2 linked regions of the Schizosaccharomyces pombe genome follow. Changing the gene in region 2 together with the main gene of any one other region gives a genetic interaction. Each region holds a gene or a part of one and is shown on either strand. Other genes may lie near its edges.

Evidence for each region. Genes that interact genetically often act in the same process or in processes that back each other up.
Region 1: mutations in ach1 (region 2) and SPOM_SPBC1348.10C together harm fitness more than expected from each alone (negative genetic interaction), as found in Schizosaccharomyces pombe (one large-scale study listed by BioGRID).

What each region holds. Positions count from the first base shown.
Region 1 is NC_003423.3:25,655-31,877, reverse strand, and holds SPOM_SPBC1348.10C (phospholipase), read left to right. Parts: upstream 1-3,505; coding exon 3,506-5,458; intron 5,459-5,522; coding exon 5,523-5,591; 3' UTR 5,592-5,723; downstream 5,724-6,223. UniProt on the Schizosaccharomyces pombe protein: Catalyzes the release of fatty acids from lysophospholipids.
Region 2 is NC_003424.3:4,978,683-4,987,079, reverse strand, and holds ach1 (acetyl-CoA hydrolase), read left to right. Parts: upstream 1-3,922; 5' UTR 3,923-4,180; coding exon 4,181-5,746; 3' UTR 5,747-5,865; downstream 5,866-8,397. Other genes in the region: nickel-dependent urease Ure2, read left to right, coding at 1-342; SPOM_SPAC1952.10C (uncharacterized protein), read left to right, coding at 786-1,058, 1,174-1,986; SPOM_SPAC1952.08C (pyridoxamine 5'-phosphate oxidase), read left to right, coding at 6,294-6,518, 6,594-6,941; checkpoint clamp complex protein Rad1, read right to left, coding at 7,321-7,915, 7,959-8,199, 8,326-8,397. UniProt on the Schizosaccharomyces pombe protein: Presumably involved in regulating the intracellular acetyl-CoA pool for fatty acid and cholesterol synthesis and fatty acid oxidation.

The sequences.
Region 1 (6,223 bases), on a different chromosome or scaffold from region 2:
TAATATGAAAGAAGGAAACCGAAATTGAGAAAAAACTATTTTTATTTAAGTTAAAAAGAGAAGAGAGACAAATAAACCAATTTTTCAAAAGGCTTAGCAATATGAATTTGTATACTAAATGCAAAGTTATTGGTAAAAAAAAAATAGAAATATTGCTAAAAAAAGATAATCTAAGTGAATAATTTCATTAATTATTTTAATAAAAGAAGGTTTTATAATTAAAGCTTGGGATAATCTTTAAAAAAAAAAAAAAAAAAAAATTTAATCAGTTAACCTTAATCTTAATTTTTTTATTTTTTTGACTTTATTATATTAGTCAATTTTATTTTTCATAACTTTTTCTCCAATGCTTCAATTTTTTTGTAGTTATTAAAATTGGGTAAAATACATAAAAATAATCAGTTCAATCAACGACTTAGCATACAGCCTTTTTCCCTTTATGTTTAATTCGTAGGCTTTTTTAGTTTTCTTCGTTGTTATATCTTTAATCATTCCTTTTAACTATTGTTACTTTTTCAAGAATTTAAAGCTTCTTTTGTTTTTTACGTATCTGTAATGATCAAAATCAATTTGTCATTGTCAATCCTGACTTTTACAGCTTTACTTTTTTTCTTTTACTATCAACCAAAGGCAGCCCTCTCTCTTCGTTCTACATTGCTCAAAATTTTCACCATTAGTGTACTCTTCATATTTCTATCTTCTACGGTGGATATACATTAGTTTTTATCATCACGTTTAAATTGCAGAAAATAGAGCCCGACTGTAGGCAAGCTCTTAATTCAAATTTTTTCAGGCAATAATTTCTGTTCTCAACTGACGGGAAATGTATAATCATTACGAATTCGAACATCTGCAACTGAGCTCATTGATGCAAGAGGACATAAACAGTAAAATTTATATAGTTCTTCTGTAAATTTTCAAGTAATAAAAAAAGCTTTCTTTAATCATTTTATTTAATATCGATTGCTATTGTTCGCAGATCATATAACACAGCAGCCACTGAGTCTACTATCCAAGGGATTCTGTGTTGTATGCGATATCAATTGGTCTGAAATTCTCAAAAGGATTTCATTAGTTTAAAGCATTAGATCCATGTTTAATGCACATCTCTTCATTAGAAGTACGAGCTTGGCGGCTAAGCTATTGCATTTCTGAATTTCATAACGTACCTTGATAGAGCAATATTAGAGTACCTTACCACAAAGATTGTTCATTACTGCCACTAAATGTTTGAGTTTGAAATTTATCAATCAAAAATTTTGACTAACCAACCTATTTTTATACAAAACTTACCTTGACGGTAATGCTTGAATTTTGTTACTAAAATGAACGACTAAACCACTTATGAACAAGTTGAACATATCGATCTGTTTTGTAAATTATTTATACTGCGTAACAAGTTATGCTAAAACATCACGGATGAGTATTTTTAAAGCTGACGCATCAAAACGATTATAGTAAATCCGCCCATGTCAAAACGTTACTTGGAAATAAAAAGGTTATAAAAGAACACTGAAGTTAATTTTGCACTTGCCTAGCCGTACATATTGTACCATATATCTTTAACAAAAATAAATTTGTGTACGGCTTAGTATATTATGTGTTGAATAACGACAATACTTTCCATGCAGTTTTTTCGCTTTACTCTTTGCGGCATCTCATAAATAACCAAATTATGTTAAATCATACATGTAAGAAAGCTTGACAGATAAAAATAAACATAGACAAAAAGAAGCAAGAGATAATACAATACATCTCAAGTTTATTGCTCAGCTTGGTAACGTTAGGTAACGTGCTATAGAATACGTGAATTTATTTAAAACGTTATCTAAATTTTGCTGTGCAATTGAAAAGCGTCATGTAGGCAACATATTCATGAATAGAAGTTGATCAAATTGCTGATTAACAAATTCAAAAATTAGATAAAAAAAAGATTTATACCAATATAGGAATATAGTATGAGTAGATAATTCGTGAGATTAATATTTCTGTAAAAGTTAAGTTTATGTCGCATAATGTCGAGAAGCAGAACGGCAGTATAAAAGCGATACTAAACGGCGATTAGCAGTAAAAGAATATTCAACAATAATGTTAATTTTTTAATCAAGCAAATGAGAAAAAAATGAATCCAAAAATGATTAAATATAAATGCAATTATTAGCACTATCATTTTGAAACAAGTCCAAAACGACGTTGGCTACAATGACAAATATTAGAAACAGCATATTCTTGTTCAATGCTTATAGTTGGTAGTCATGAGTAGAGAATATAAATACAATGCACACGATGTAGATTTGATGTGGGTAAATGAGCAAGTAATTATTGATCGTGGAAATGAAATACGACCTATAAGCCTAAAGCATAATTGATCACTAAAAAGTGCTCTTTTATCTCCAACTTGAAGAAAAAGTAGAACAAATAAAAAGGCATCACAAGCTGCCATACAAAAACTATCAAACTTTGTTCAGCTAAATGTTTTGTGCATAACGATGATTAGGAAATTAGTGTGGAAAAGTTACAACCTTATGTACTGTTTCGGAAAGATACAGTAAAACAAACAATTCAAGAGAGATCTAAAGAGACAATCAGGTTAATGGCCTTTAATAATAAGAAATTACCGCGATGTACAACTTAAGCAGGTGTGACAAAAAGTACAAATGTACGTTCGAGCAATTAAAACTACTATTGACATATCATAAAATAATGTCAAATGTTGCAAAAAATAACAAACAAATTTGTTTTCTCGAGGTCAAGCGAAAAGATATTTACATGTATGAAAGTCGAATAATTGTGATAATAGCGAGGATTTATGAACAAAGACTACTCGAAAATACAAAACTTATTTCTCCCTAGTATATGAAGATCAAAATAACTTAAGCTAGTTGAAATGCATGCAATGTGTTAAACGTGGAATCATGAATTCGCTATGCATTTTATTGGCGTTTTCTTTTTCGTGTATCCGCGCTAGTACACTAGATTACGTTGCCTCTCACCATACATCGAATGTCCCTACTATCATCCTCCTACTTATATTTATAATCAATACGTGATCATCAGATCATTCCCTTACACGCTCCCATTTCAGATTATGCATCGTAATACTAACAAACTATTTTGTATAAGCGAAGTAATTAACTCCATTCGATGATGAGCGATCAGCTTCTGGTATTATTGTTCGCATACATATCTTGTAACATTTGTTACTCAATAGAAATTTAAGGTAACATTGATCATAAAGTAAAAGCTTGCCGTACTAAATTGTATCCGCCTAACGTTTGCGAATTTTGCAGCAAGCATTGTTTCGTATTTAAGATCACTTTTGTAGACAGATCTTGAGATAACGCGACAAATTTTGGGGCTTTTAAAGTTCGGAATTCTTTCTTCCGGATCAGAGATGTGTAGTGCGCCAGAGTAATATATGATTTAATATTCTTCCGTGTAGTACACTTTTCCATGCGAACTTCAATTTTTACAGCTTTTGTTTGAACTTTTTTTATTTTCTGCAATGTATGTCAACTATATTGGACTCTTTGCTTTCGTTCAAATTTCGTTGACGTTAGCTTATCCTCCCGGTCGTGTGGAGATTTCTGAAATATATGATTTTGAAGAATCTAGTTCGTATAAAGGACAAGATATTGATACATCCGTACTTTACACTTTGTCTAAAAGGAAACCTGCGCTCGTAAAACGAAGTACCGACGCTTCGTATGCCCCTTTCAATGTGACCTGTTCAAACGACAATCTGTTGAGGCCGGCTTCTGAAGGTTTAAATGAGGGCGAACAGAGCTATATCAACAAACGTATTTCTAAGGTTAACAGTGAACTCCGATCATTTATTTCTAAGACAGGTTTGAATGTTGACTTGGATAAGGTGGTTAACAGCTCGGATGGTCCACGTTTAGGAATTGCATTCTCAGGTGGTGGGTTACGGGCGATGGTTAATGGAGGTGGTGCATTCAATGCTTTTGACTCAAGATTCGAGAGTGACTCTCCACTTTCTGGTCTGCTGCAATCCGCGATGTATATCAGCGGTCTTTCTGGTGGTTCATGGCTTGTTGGATCAGTGGCTATTAATAATTTTACGAATATAACATACTTACGTGATAATGTCTGGAATTTGGAACATAGCGTTTTTGCTCCTCATGGGGATAATGTCATTGAAAATTTGAATTATTATAATGACTTGCGCAAAGAAATTGATCAAAAGAAACATGCGGGCTTTGACTGTTCTTTGACGGATTTATGGGGACGTGCTTTGTCCCGTAAACTTGTTGATGCTGAAAGGGGAGGACCAGGCATTACATATTCCAGTATGAGAAATCAAAGCTGGTTTCAAAATGCTGATTATCCTTATCCCATCATCGTTGCGGATAGCCGATTAGAAGAAGAAACGGCCATCCCTGCCAATACCAGTATCTTTGAGTTCACGGCGTATGAATTTGGTACATGGGACAATGGAATTAAAGCATTCATTCCAATGGAATATGTGGGAACTCACTTGTTGGATGGGGTTCCACCCGATAAGTCTTGCATTCATAACTATGATAATGCAGGTTTTGTTATGGGCACTTCAGCTACTTTATTCAACTCTTTTCTTCTTGACTGGAATGAAAATGTCAAAAAGAATGATACCTATTACGATATTCTTCATGCGATTCTTGAAGATCTTTCTAAGCATCAAGATGATATTGCTCCTTATCCCAATCCTTACCAAAATTATACTACTTCCAATACCTCTGTAGTGAATGCGTTCGAACCGTATGATACTATTGATCTAGTTGATGGTGGTGAGGATAGGGAAAACATTCCCCTTTGGCCTTTGTTACACCCACAACGATTTGTGGACGTTGTATTTGCGATTGATTCGACTTATAATGATCCTTATGGTTGGCCCCTTGGATCTTCCATTGTTGCTACATATGAGAGAGTTGTAACCTTTAATGCGAACAAGAGTGTTGATGTGCGTGGATTTCCATATATTCCGGACGAAAACACTATTATCTCTTTGGGACTAAACACTCGTCCTACGTTTTTTGGATGTGACGGTAAAAATACTACAGCAGGAAATCATGATGTAGACAATAATACCCCACCTCTCCTTGTATACTTTCCAAATTACCCTTGGACTTATTATTCCAATATATCGACATTTACTATGAGCATGGACGACAAGATGGCTAATGGAATTCTTGAGAATGCATTTATGTCGACTACGCAAAACAATAATGAATCTTTTGCAGTTTGCTTAGCATGCGCTATAATTCAACGCTCTTTGGAACGCAAGAAATTGAGTACTCCTACCCAGTGCTCTTCTTGTTTCCAAGAATACTGTTGGGACGGAACTCTTGCAACTAGTACGGCTTCTGTATATGATCCTACCGTAATGTCTGCTGCGACAACATCTCGTGCACCGTCAGGCACAACCTCGGGTACAGCCTCTAGTACAACATCTTCATCTGTATGTTCTCAAAAATTCACGTTGATTAAACTATTTTTTTTTTCATCGCTAACTTTTGTTCTAGGTAGCATCAGCCACTCCCACTCATAAACATTGGTGGGACTCGATTTTCGAAGCGAAAGAAAATCCGTAAAAAGATTCCATTGATGTTGTTTCAATGGATTCTCAGGCATGTGAGAAATTTAGAATAGATAGATTTACCTTTATTGTACTTGGTTACGAATTCGTTATGAAAGAGAACTAAGGATTTTCCTCATTCGTGAGACTGCTCAGTTAAACCCTTTACGTTTGATGGAGCTATGTAAACGGGTAAATGAATAATTTGTTATCTCTAAACTTTTTTAGATAAATGCAACCGGTCGAATGGATGAACAGGCTTAGTTGGCTCAATCTGAGATCGATGTGCATTCACGTAAAGACACGAAACGAAAGAATGTAAGCATGAAAACGATTAAATACAACATTGCTTTAAATTGATATATACGTACAATTGGGAATCACAAGTTGAATGAAAAATAGTCCAAGATCGTTGTGCTAATGATGAACATTAAATGATAGATTGTTTTAAAAGCTCCCGGTTTTTTAAAAAATAGATAATAATAAAATTGACTACAAACATTTAAAAGTAAGACAGAGACTTGTTAATTCAATATATGAGGAGTCACTACTAAATATTTTACTGTATTTTGAAACTTCCTAAAGGAAGGAAACTAAATAAATGCTGAAAGATTTATCAACAGTTTGGTACAAAAAACAGTAAAAGAG
Region 2 (8,397 bases):
ATGATTGCATTGGCCTCTATGGGTGATCCAAATGGATCGATTCCAACGGTTTCTCCCCTCATGTCCTGGCAAATGTTTGGTGCACATGACCCCGAGAGGAGCATTGCATTTGTTTCCAAGGCCTCTATAACATCCGGTGTTATTGAAAGCTATGGACTTCATAAGAGAGTTGAAGCCGTAAAATCTACGAGAAACATTGGGAAGAAAGACATGGTTTACAATTCATATATGCCAAAAATGACTGTTGATCCAGAAGCTTACACAGTTACTGCAGATGGTAAAGTTATGGAATGTGAGCCTGTAGACAAACTTCCACTTTCCCAGTCTTATTTTATCTTTTAATTATTTAGATTTTGATTAAGGAAGATAATGCGAGTTTAATTAATATGAAATTTTGTTTGTAAATTTCTTTACAGTTGTTTGAGGCCGAGAAATTCCATATCAAATTTTAAAAGACCAATTACTATTTAAGTTTATAAATATAATATACTCCCGCTTATGAGTTGGTGGATCAACCTTGTTTGCTTACTACCCACGTTTTTGCTTTAAGGTTATATAATTCTTTTCAAACACTAACAAATATTTGTCACAAATTCATATACTATAAACATTCAGAAAAGTTGTATTTGAGCTAGTGTACAGTCGTATTCGTTAAGTCAGAGTGAACTTCGTCGCTTACCAAAGCGGTAAACAACACCTACAATCAACGTTCGATGAGCCTAAGTGACTAAGCTGTGAAGAGATTAAGACTTTCATGAAAGCGTTATTAATAATTTCTTTTAATCATGAAAAAGTTCTTGTCATTCAAGCCTGCTGAAGACTTCCTTCGATCTCTTAAAAAATCATCACAATGGTTTCTGCTGATCATTATTGTCGAGGTTACCATTACATTATCTTTTGAAGGATATGTTTTTCATCATTTTCGTTTAATCACAGTCGAAAAAATTGATGTCTTTATAAATGCTATGGTGCCGTCTACATTTGCACTGTTTTGTATGGCATGTCCCTATTTACTTTATACGGCTGTAGATGCATTATTAAACAAGGATGTAATACAGGTAAGTTAATTGTCTCCAAAAAAAGCTAAAATGGCATTGTTTGTCTTTTGTCGATTCATATGGTTGACGCACTTGAGATCTAAACCAATTCAAGCTAACCGAATTATACGTTTAGATGTCAGCACTTCTTATCTTTCATGTAAGCCTTTTTTGCCTATCTGTTGTCCAATATTTTCAAATATTTTCAAAAGACCCCAGAGCGATTTTCCTCTCCGCTTTATACTTAATAGATCCCATTCGCCTCGTCACATCATTTAACTATCACGAAAGAATAGTTGTTAATTCTCATATGTTGTTATTTTATCTGAAGCCATTTGTAATCGCTCTTCCGGTGCTAATCGGCGTTACTTGTATCTTGCTGAGCTTCTTGGTTTACAAAATGAACAAAGCATTTGGATGGATTATGTATCAGCAGCATGGTCCTGATCTTCGAATGAGAAGAAGGTATCTCGTATACAAAATATTCATGTCCTTAATTAAGTCGGACTATTATTTTTGCCTAACGGCTACTGTTCAATATGCTATCTTCTTTTCTACCATAAGTCGTGTTGGGCTAGCACTAACCATTCTTGTCTTCCCCTGTACAATCGCAACTTTGATGACCTGTAGGTATGCTGTTTACAGAGAAAATCGTGCATTGTTAGGGATTGTACAGTTTATGTTTATGTGTGGACTTGCATATTTTATTTACAACTGTGCTAGGCTATACCTAGGCGTCGACTATGGGGATATTGCTGTTGCAAATATTTGTATGTTGGTGTTTTCAATAGTCACCATAATTTATTTGTTCACAACCATAGTCGTAGGGTTTTATTGCATTTCCAACTTCGGTTATGGTCTTAGGGAATATTTACGCTATATCCATCAAAAGCAAAAAGTCAATGCGGCTCCTGCTGTTCCTAAAGTTCGCATGCCATTGGACGACTGAGAGCTCTCTTTCTTTTGGCATTCTAAAAATGTGTTTTCTTGTTGTTTATCAATGTTCCTCATCTCTCTGTCCTAATCATCGTTTGTTTTCTTACGCCTGTTGAATTTACTGTTTTCCATTTCGTGTTTCCTTGCATTCCTTGGTAGGTGAATATTTTGTGCTCCGATCTCTTGTACTGTGTTTTTCCTTCATTTGACCTTTAATACATATCTTTTTTGTCTTTGTTAAAATTTATTGCTTTCGGTCCTTCTTTTGAAAGCTCAGTCTTCTTGCCTATAATTCACAATTTGAAAAAAAAAAAAAAAAAAATCTCCTAATTCATGCTTCATTGCTCATATCATTGCTATTATTAAAAACAAAATTCTCAACATGCTATTACAATGATTTAGTTGAGTAAACATTTTGAGCTGGTTCTTTTCTTATACAGGAAAAAAGGTGATAGCTAATTGGAGTTGACCATTTCCTTACGGAAGTTTTAGAACGAATATATCGTTCTGTGGCCTACAAGGATTTTAAGTCAAAAAATTCTATCATTTTTCTGGTTAAGAAGGAATGTTTATTAGTTGTTAACTCACACTTGTGATATTGTTGATTGTAGTGATTGAACCGTTTCTTTAAAAGTTTTTTGAATGATCTGAACTAATTTGATACAAATAGTTAAGTCTAGTCTTTTCTGTTTATTAATAATCCTAATTTATTAATAATGCTAATAAATAAATTAATTGTATAACGTAAACATATATTTTTATTTATATACCGCGTTTGAATAATAATACCCAGTTTTGGGACAATAATGGGATACCGTTCCTAATTACCTCCATAATTTGATTTCTTGTTTTAATATGACGATATATCGTACTAAGTCATTGCTGCCTTCTGCCTCTTAATTCTGACTTAAACTGAAAAACAAAATATTTCGTGATTTATCGTTATTAATTATTTAGCAGGATTTCTACAAAATTTGTTATAGAAATTACAACGTAAGCAAGCATTCTCGGCACTATCTTTTTACCGTAATTTGCCTCACTCCCTTATACGTACTGCATTTGTTTTGATTCCCTACCTGCTTGAATGTGCGATTCCAATGAATGACCCTCCATAGGCTCTAGGTGAAACCTTATTTTACACATATAAAACAAGGTGAATTCCATTTCAACACTTGAATTCCTAACCTAACAACTACCATCCATAAGTATTTTGGTATATTTACAAAAATTGAGTGTAATTCACTCTTATAATCGATACTTCTGATTGTCATTAGCGTCGTTGAGATCAAAACAAAACAATTTCCAGGATTTTGAAATTTGGCTTTTAAACAGCTGAATCTTTGGTTATTTTGTTGAAGTTTCTTTGATTTAATATCTTTTCACCCCCCTTTCACCTCTATTCAGTTTAATTTAATCATTTGACTCTTTCTTCTTGCATCGGTTCGTTCGTGTTCGCTTTACTACTAACTTACCTACCTACATTTGTTCTCCTTATCCTTAATTCTTTTACAGATATAACAAAACGTCTGCCAAAGTCAACACACTCGGGTTTTGTCATTTAATAGGGCAAAACGCTACTCTACTTGGGATTTTCATTATATTTACTCTCATTCATATTCTTCCGTTTCTGTGACTAAATCACCATAAAAAAACACCTTCCTTCCCCGGAAAACAAATAAGCAAACAACACTTTTTTTCGAAACACATTGTTTAAACAAAGTTTACGCCCTTTTATTATTGAAGATTTTCACCCGGTCAACCTTTTACCCTTTTCCTATTTCGCAAATTCTGTCTCTTTTTTTCGTCACAATTTTGGTCTACTTTGCTAAAATCAAGTCGCGCATACATTCATCATTCCGGCTTTTTTTTTGCAATCATCATTCCATATCTTACCGATATCTGTGATCCTTGGGTTTGTAAATCTGTTACTGAGCAGTTACATATTTGTCACAAGAACAACCACTTTTGGTTGATTCATTTTCTTATTTAAAAGTAAAAAAGAGTGTACATTCAACAAATTAAAATTATCTTTTAAGCCCAAAAAAGCGTTTTTGAGCATATTCTGATTATTTATCTGTCGCCCAGATTCTTCATTGAAAGATTTCTTTTTCTTTTCTTTTTTTTCTTGTTTTATCGCTTTTGAATTTGACTTTTACTAGTTCAACGTTTTAATATTTCCTTCCTCTTCTCTTCTTTTTGTTGATACAATGCCGTCTCTTCTGAGTTCACGCATTCGCAATGCCGAATTTGCCAAAAAAATTGTTACGGATCCTGCCAAGTTGGTTCCGTACTTTAAAAATGGGGACTATGTTGGTTGGTCTGGTTTTACTGGTGTCGGTTATCCTAAAATGATTCCAAACGCGTTAGCAAGACATGTCGAAGAGAACAATTTGCAAGGAAAATTGCGTTTTAAATTGTTCGTTGGTGCCTCGGGAGGTGCTGATACGGAATGCAAGTGGGCTGAATTGAATATGATTGAGCGCCGGTGTCCTCATCAAGTAGGAAAGCCAATTTCTAAAGGAATTAACTCTGGCAGAATTCAGTTTTTCGACAAGCATTTATCCATGTTTCCCCAAGATTTACTTTATGGCTACTATACTCGTAATCGTGAAAGTAATACAATTGACACAGCCATTATTGAGGCCACAGCCATTACCGAGGACGGCGGAATTGTTCCCGGCGCATCAGTTGGTGCGAGTCCGGAACTTATGCAACTTGCGGAAAAGATTATCATCGAGGTGAACACTGCCATTCCTTCTTTTGAAGGACTTCATGACATTGTCGAAATTCCCAACCCCCCACATCGTACTCCAATAAACATCAATCGAGTTGACGATCGTATTGGAAAGCCATACATCAAAGTGGATCCCAAAAAGGTTATTGGAATAGTGGAGGCTGATTATGGAGACATCACATGCGCTAACTCTCCGCAAGATGAGACTTCGCAGGCTATTGCAGGCCATTTAGTTGACTTTTTCCATCATGAAGTATCTGTAGGGCGTCTTCCCAAAAATCTTCATCCTTTGCAATCCGGTATTGGAAACATTGCCAACGCTATTATCGGTGGTCTTGCCCATTCTCCCTTTAAAGATCTCGAAGTGTGGACAGAAGTCTTACAAGATACTTTCTTGCCTCTCTTTGACTCTGAAAAGTTACGTTTTGCTACTGCTACCTCAACCCGTTTTTCTCCTCAGGGATTTGAAAAATTCTACTCAAACTATGATTACTACAAGGAAAGAATTTTGTTACGCCCTCAAGTAATTTCCAATCACCCTGAAATTATCCGCCGTCTTGGTTGCATCGCTATGAATACTCCTGTGGAAGCCGATATTTACGCTCATGCCAATAGTACAAATGTTTTGGGAAGCAGAATGTTGAACGGTTTAGGTGGTTCTGCTGATTTCTTGCGTAATGCGAAATTAAGTATTATGCATACACCATCGGTTCGTCCTTCGAAGAAGGATCCTACTGGTATCACTTGTATTGTTCCTATGGCTACCCATGTTGACCAAACCGAACATGATTTGGATATTTTGGTTACAGAGCAAGGATTGGCTGATTTACGAGGCTTGTCTCCTACCGAACGTGCTCGTGAGGTTATTGACAAGTGTGCTCATCCTGACTATAAGCCTCTGCTCAGAGAGTATTTCGATATTGCCGAAAACTACTGTTTAGCTAGAGGAGCTGGTCATGAACCCCATATTCTTGCCAATGCTTTCAAGATGCAGCTCAACCTTTTAGAAAAAGGAACGATGAAGATCGATCATTGGTAAATTTAGTTATCAGTTGTTATAGCCACTTTTACTCTTTCTAAGGGTTTTCCAAAACCTTGTTACGACTAAAATACAGCTTCTTCGTGCTGTTATGACTTAATGTATTTCATTTTTACATTAATTTAATTTACGAAATAAAAAAAATCCGTATACTAAAATTAGTGTTTATAAGTTAAGGAAATTAGTTTTGAGTAAGTAAATCCAACAATCATAATGCGTATGAATTTTCCAAGATACACAGAAATGAGCGCGTTTATTTTATGAGCAGTATTCCTTTGAAGATTATTAATCTTTAGTTCCCCTGCAAAATTCGTAAGTTGGCTGTTTAGTACATACCTCTATATTACGTTGAGTTGTGAGTCAGCATTTCTGCTATTAACCTAGTATCAAACCTGCTTACTCAGAGAGGAGTACCACCAAAATTTAGGAAAGGATAATCAAGTATAGAAATTATCGTACAGTTTTGTCTGGATCAATAGTTTCCATTCACCAGTATTTATTCTGCAAATTATAATCTTTGTCGCACCACAATAACCTGAAAGTAAATATGGCCTCAAAAGTCGATTCATCTCATGAGTTCCCCAGCCAAATCAAGAGATGCTTGTCCTCATCCAAATATATTCAACTAGCTACTTGCTTTCATGATCAGCCTCACTCTTCTTTGATGACATTTACCTATTTACCTGCAGGAAGCGCTGCCCCTTACGAAGTGGAGGATTGCATTATTTTGTCAACAGGAGAAAACAGTAAAAAATATTTTAACATCAGTTCGGTATGTATCATATTTAAAAGTTTAACTTATCCTTGATCCTGATTGGTATTTTCTTTTTTCTAACATGATGACTAGAATCCTCGAGTATCATTACTAGTTCATGACTGGACCACTAATCGTCAAGAAACAGATCCTGATGCCTCCTCATTGTACACCTTACTTTATAAAATGAATCAGGCTCAGTTCTCGAATACATCAGTGACCTTGAATGGCCTTGCTACCGTTCTTCCAAAGAATAGCAAAGAAGAGGAATTCTTTAGAGAAAAGCATTTAAACACTAATGACAAGGGTAATACGAAACAATACGTGGAGGGTGAGGATATGAGAATTATCAAGATAAAGTTGGAAAGTGCGAGAATTTGTGATCAGAGACTCAACAACGTCCAAAAATGGAATGCAAGAGGAGATGAGACTCCATTTTGAGTAAACAAATGTTTTATGAGTGTCACTTTGCATTTTCTATTTTTTAAAAATCAATAATGTTTGAAGAATTTTTGAATGCTTCGTAGATCTAACCATAATGTATAATCGTGTGTATGATACATGGGAATTTTGTTGGCTACATGCTTTGCTAGACAGCCTAGTGGAAAGCGTCTTGTTTATACGTGTGTTAAATAAGCATAGAAAAAGTGAGGAAACGGTGTGACTTTAAGCTACCTAAATAAGACCAAACAAAAAGCAGGGAAATAAATCATGATTCGTTGAATAAGTGTATTATCATAAGTTGTTCAGTATCAATTGTACCTTTTTCTTTTTTTGAAGTTATCGGAAACACTAAAGTGCTGAGTGCTAAAATTATCATTTAGCTATCCTCATCCTCGGTCTCCGCATCTCCTCGATAATTCGGATCGTTTCGTAAAACGTTATTGTCCGACTGATTAGATTCTGCTGGTTCTTCTTCTTCATCCTCCTCCTCATCTTCACTTACAAGGTCCAAAGGAACAATACAAAAGTCTACAAACGTACAAAGCCCTTCTTGACCGACAAGCATGATTTGAATGCTCAAAGTTCCATTTTCATCAATACGTAGGTTTACTTTAGAACCCACTTGTAATGCTTTCAGCGCATGTCTTATTAATGAGAAGCGGTAGGAATAAGTGTTTTCAGAATCAGTTTCAAAAGACTCTAAAACACTTTTCTCGTTTGGATATTCTATTTCCGTAGTGGATAATGCCCCTACACATCTCAATAAGAAGGTTGATTTTTGGGATGATGTATGAATAATTAAATTTTCGCCCATGTTATTGTCTAATTCCACCAAGGCATCATATAGCCAGTTACTTTTCATAATGATCTTCGTGCACAATGTGCTTGCAAGTCTATTGATGTCAACGTCGTCCTCACATTCCATAGTCAACAGTTCACAAGCCGTAGCATAACCAGCCATTTCCTCTACTCTTTATTTTTGTCAGTACAGAATGTTAATGATAAAATCCTTACTCCCATATAAATGGACAGCCGGGTCCATTATACTGTACTTTGCAGATAACGCCTCGTTTGTGCATTATGTTTACAGTGGGTTGATCCCAGGCACTAGTTGAAATCCGTTCTTTTCCATCTGTATAAATTGATAATGATTGTAAAAGAGGTGAAATCATCGTCTGGAACATATATGTATCCCCATCTGAATCACCCTGAAAATTAAACGTTTGAAACAACGACTTATCAAGAAAGGCGTGAGCTTAATGTGTGAGTGAACAATAAAGAAAAAGTGAATGCATTTCAAGAATCGCATTAATATATGAAACTTTATTAAGTAGCTTCAAATTTTTTAACGATCATAGATGTGAGACTCGACTTGTCTTACCCTGCAAAGACTGCGATTCCTCCACTGCAAACCGTAGTCCACGACTTGTGATTTCGATAGTACATTCCTTTG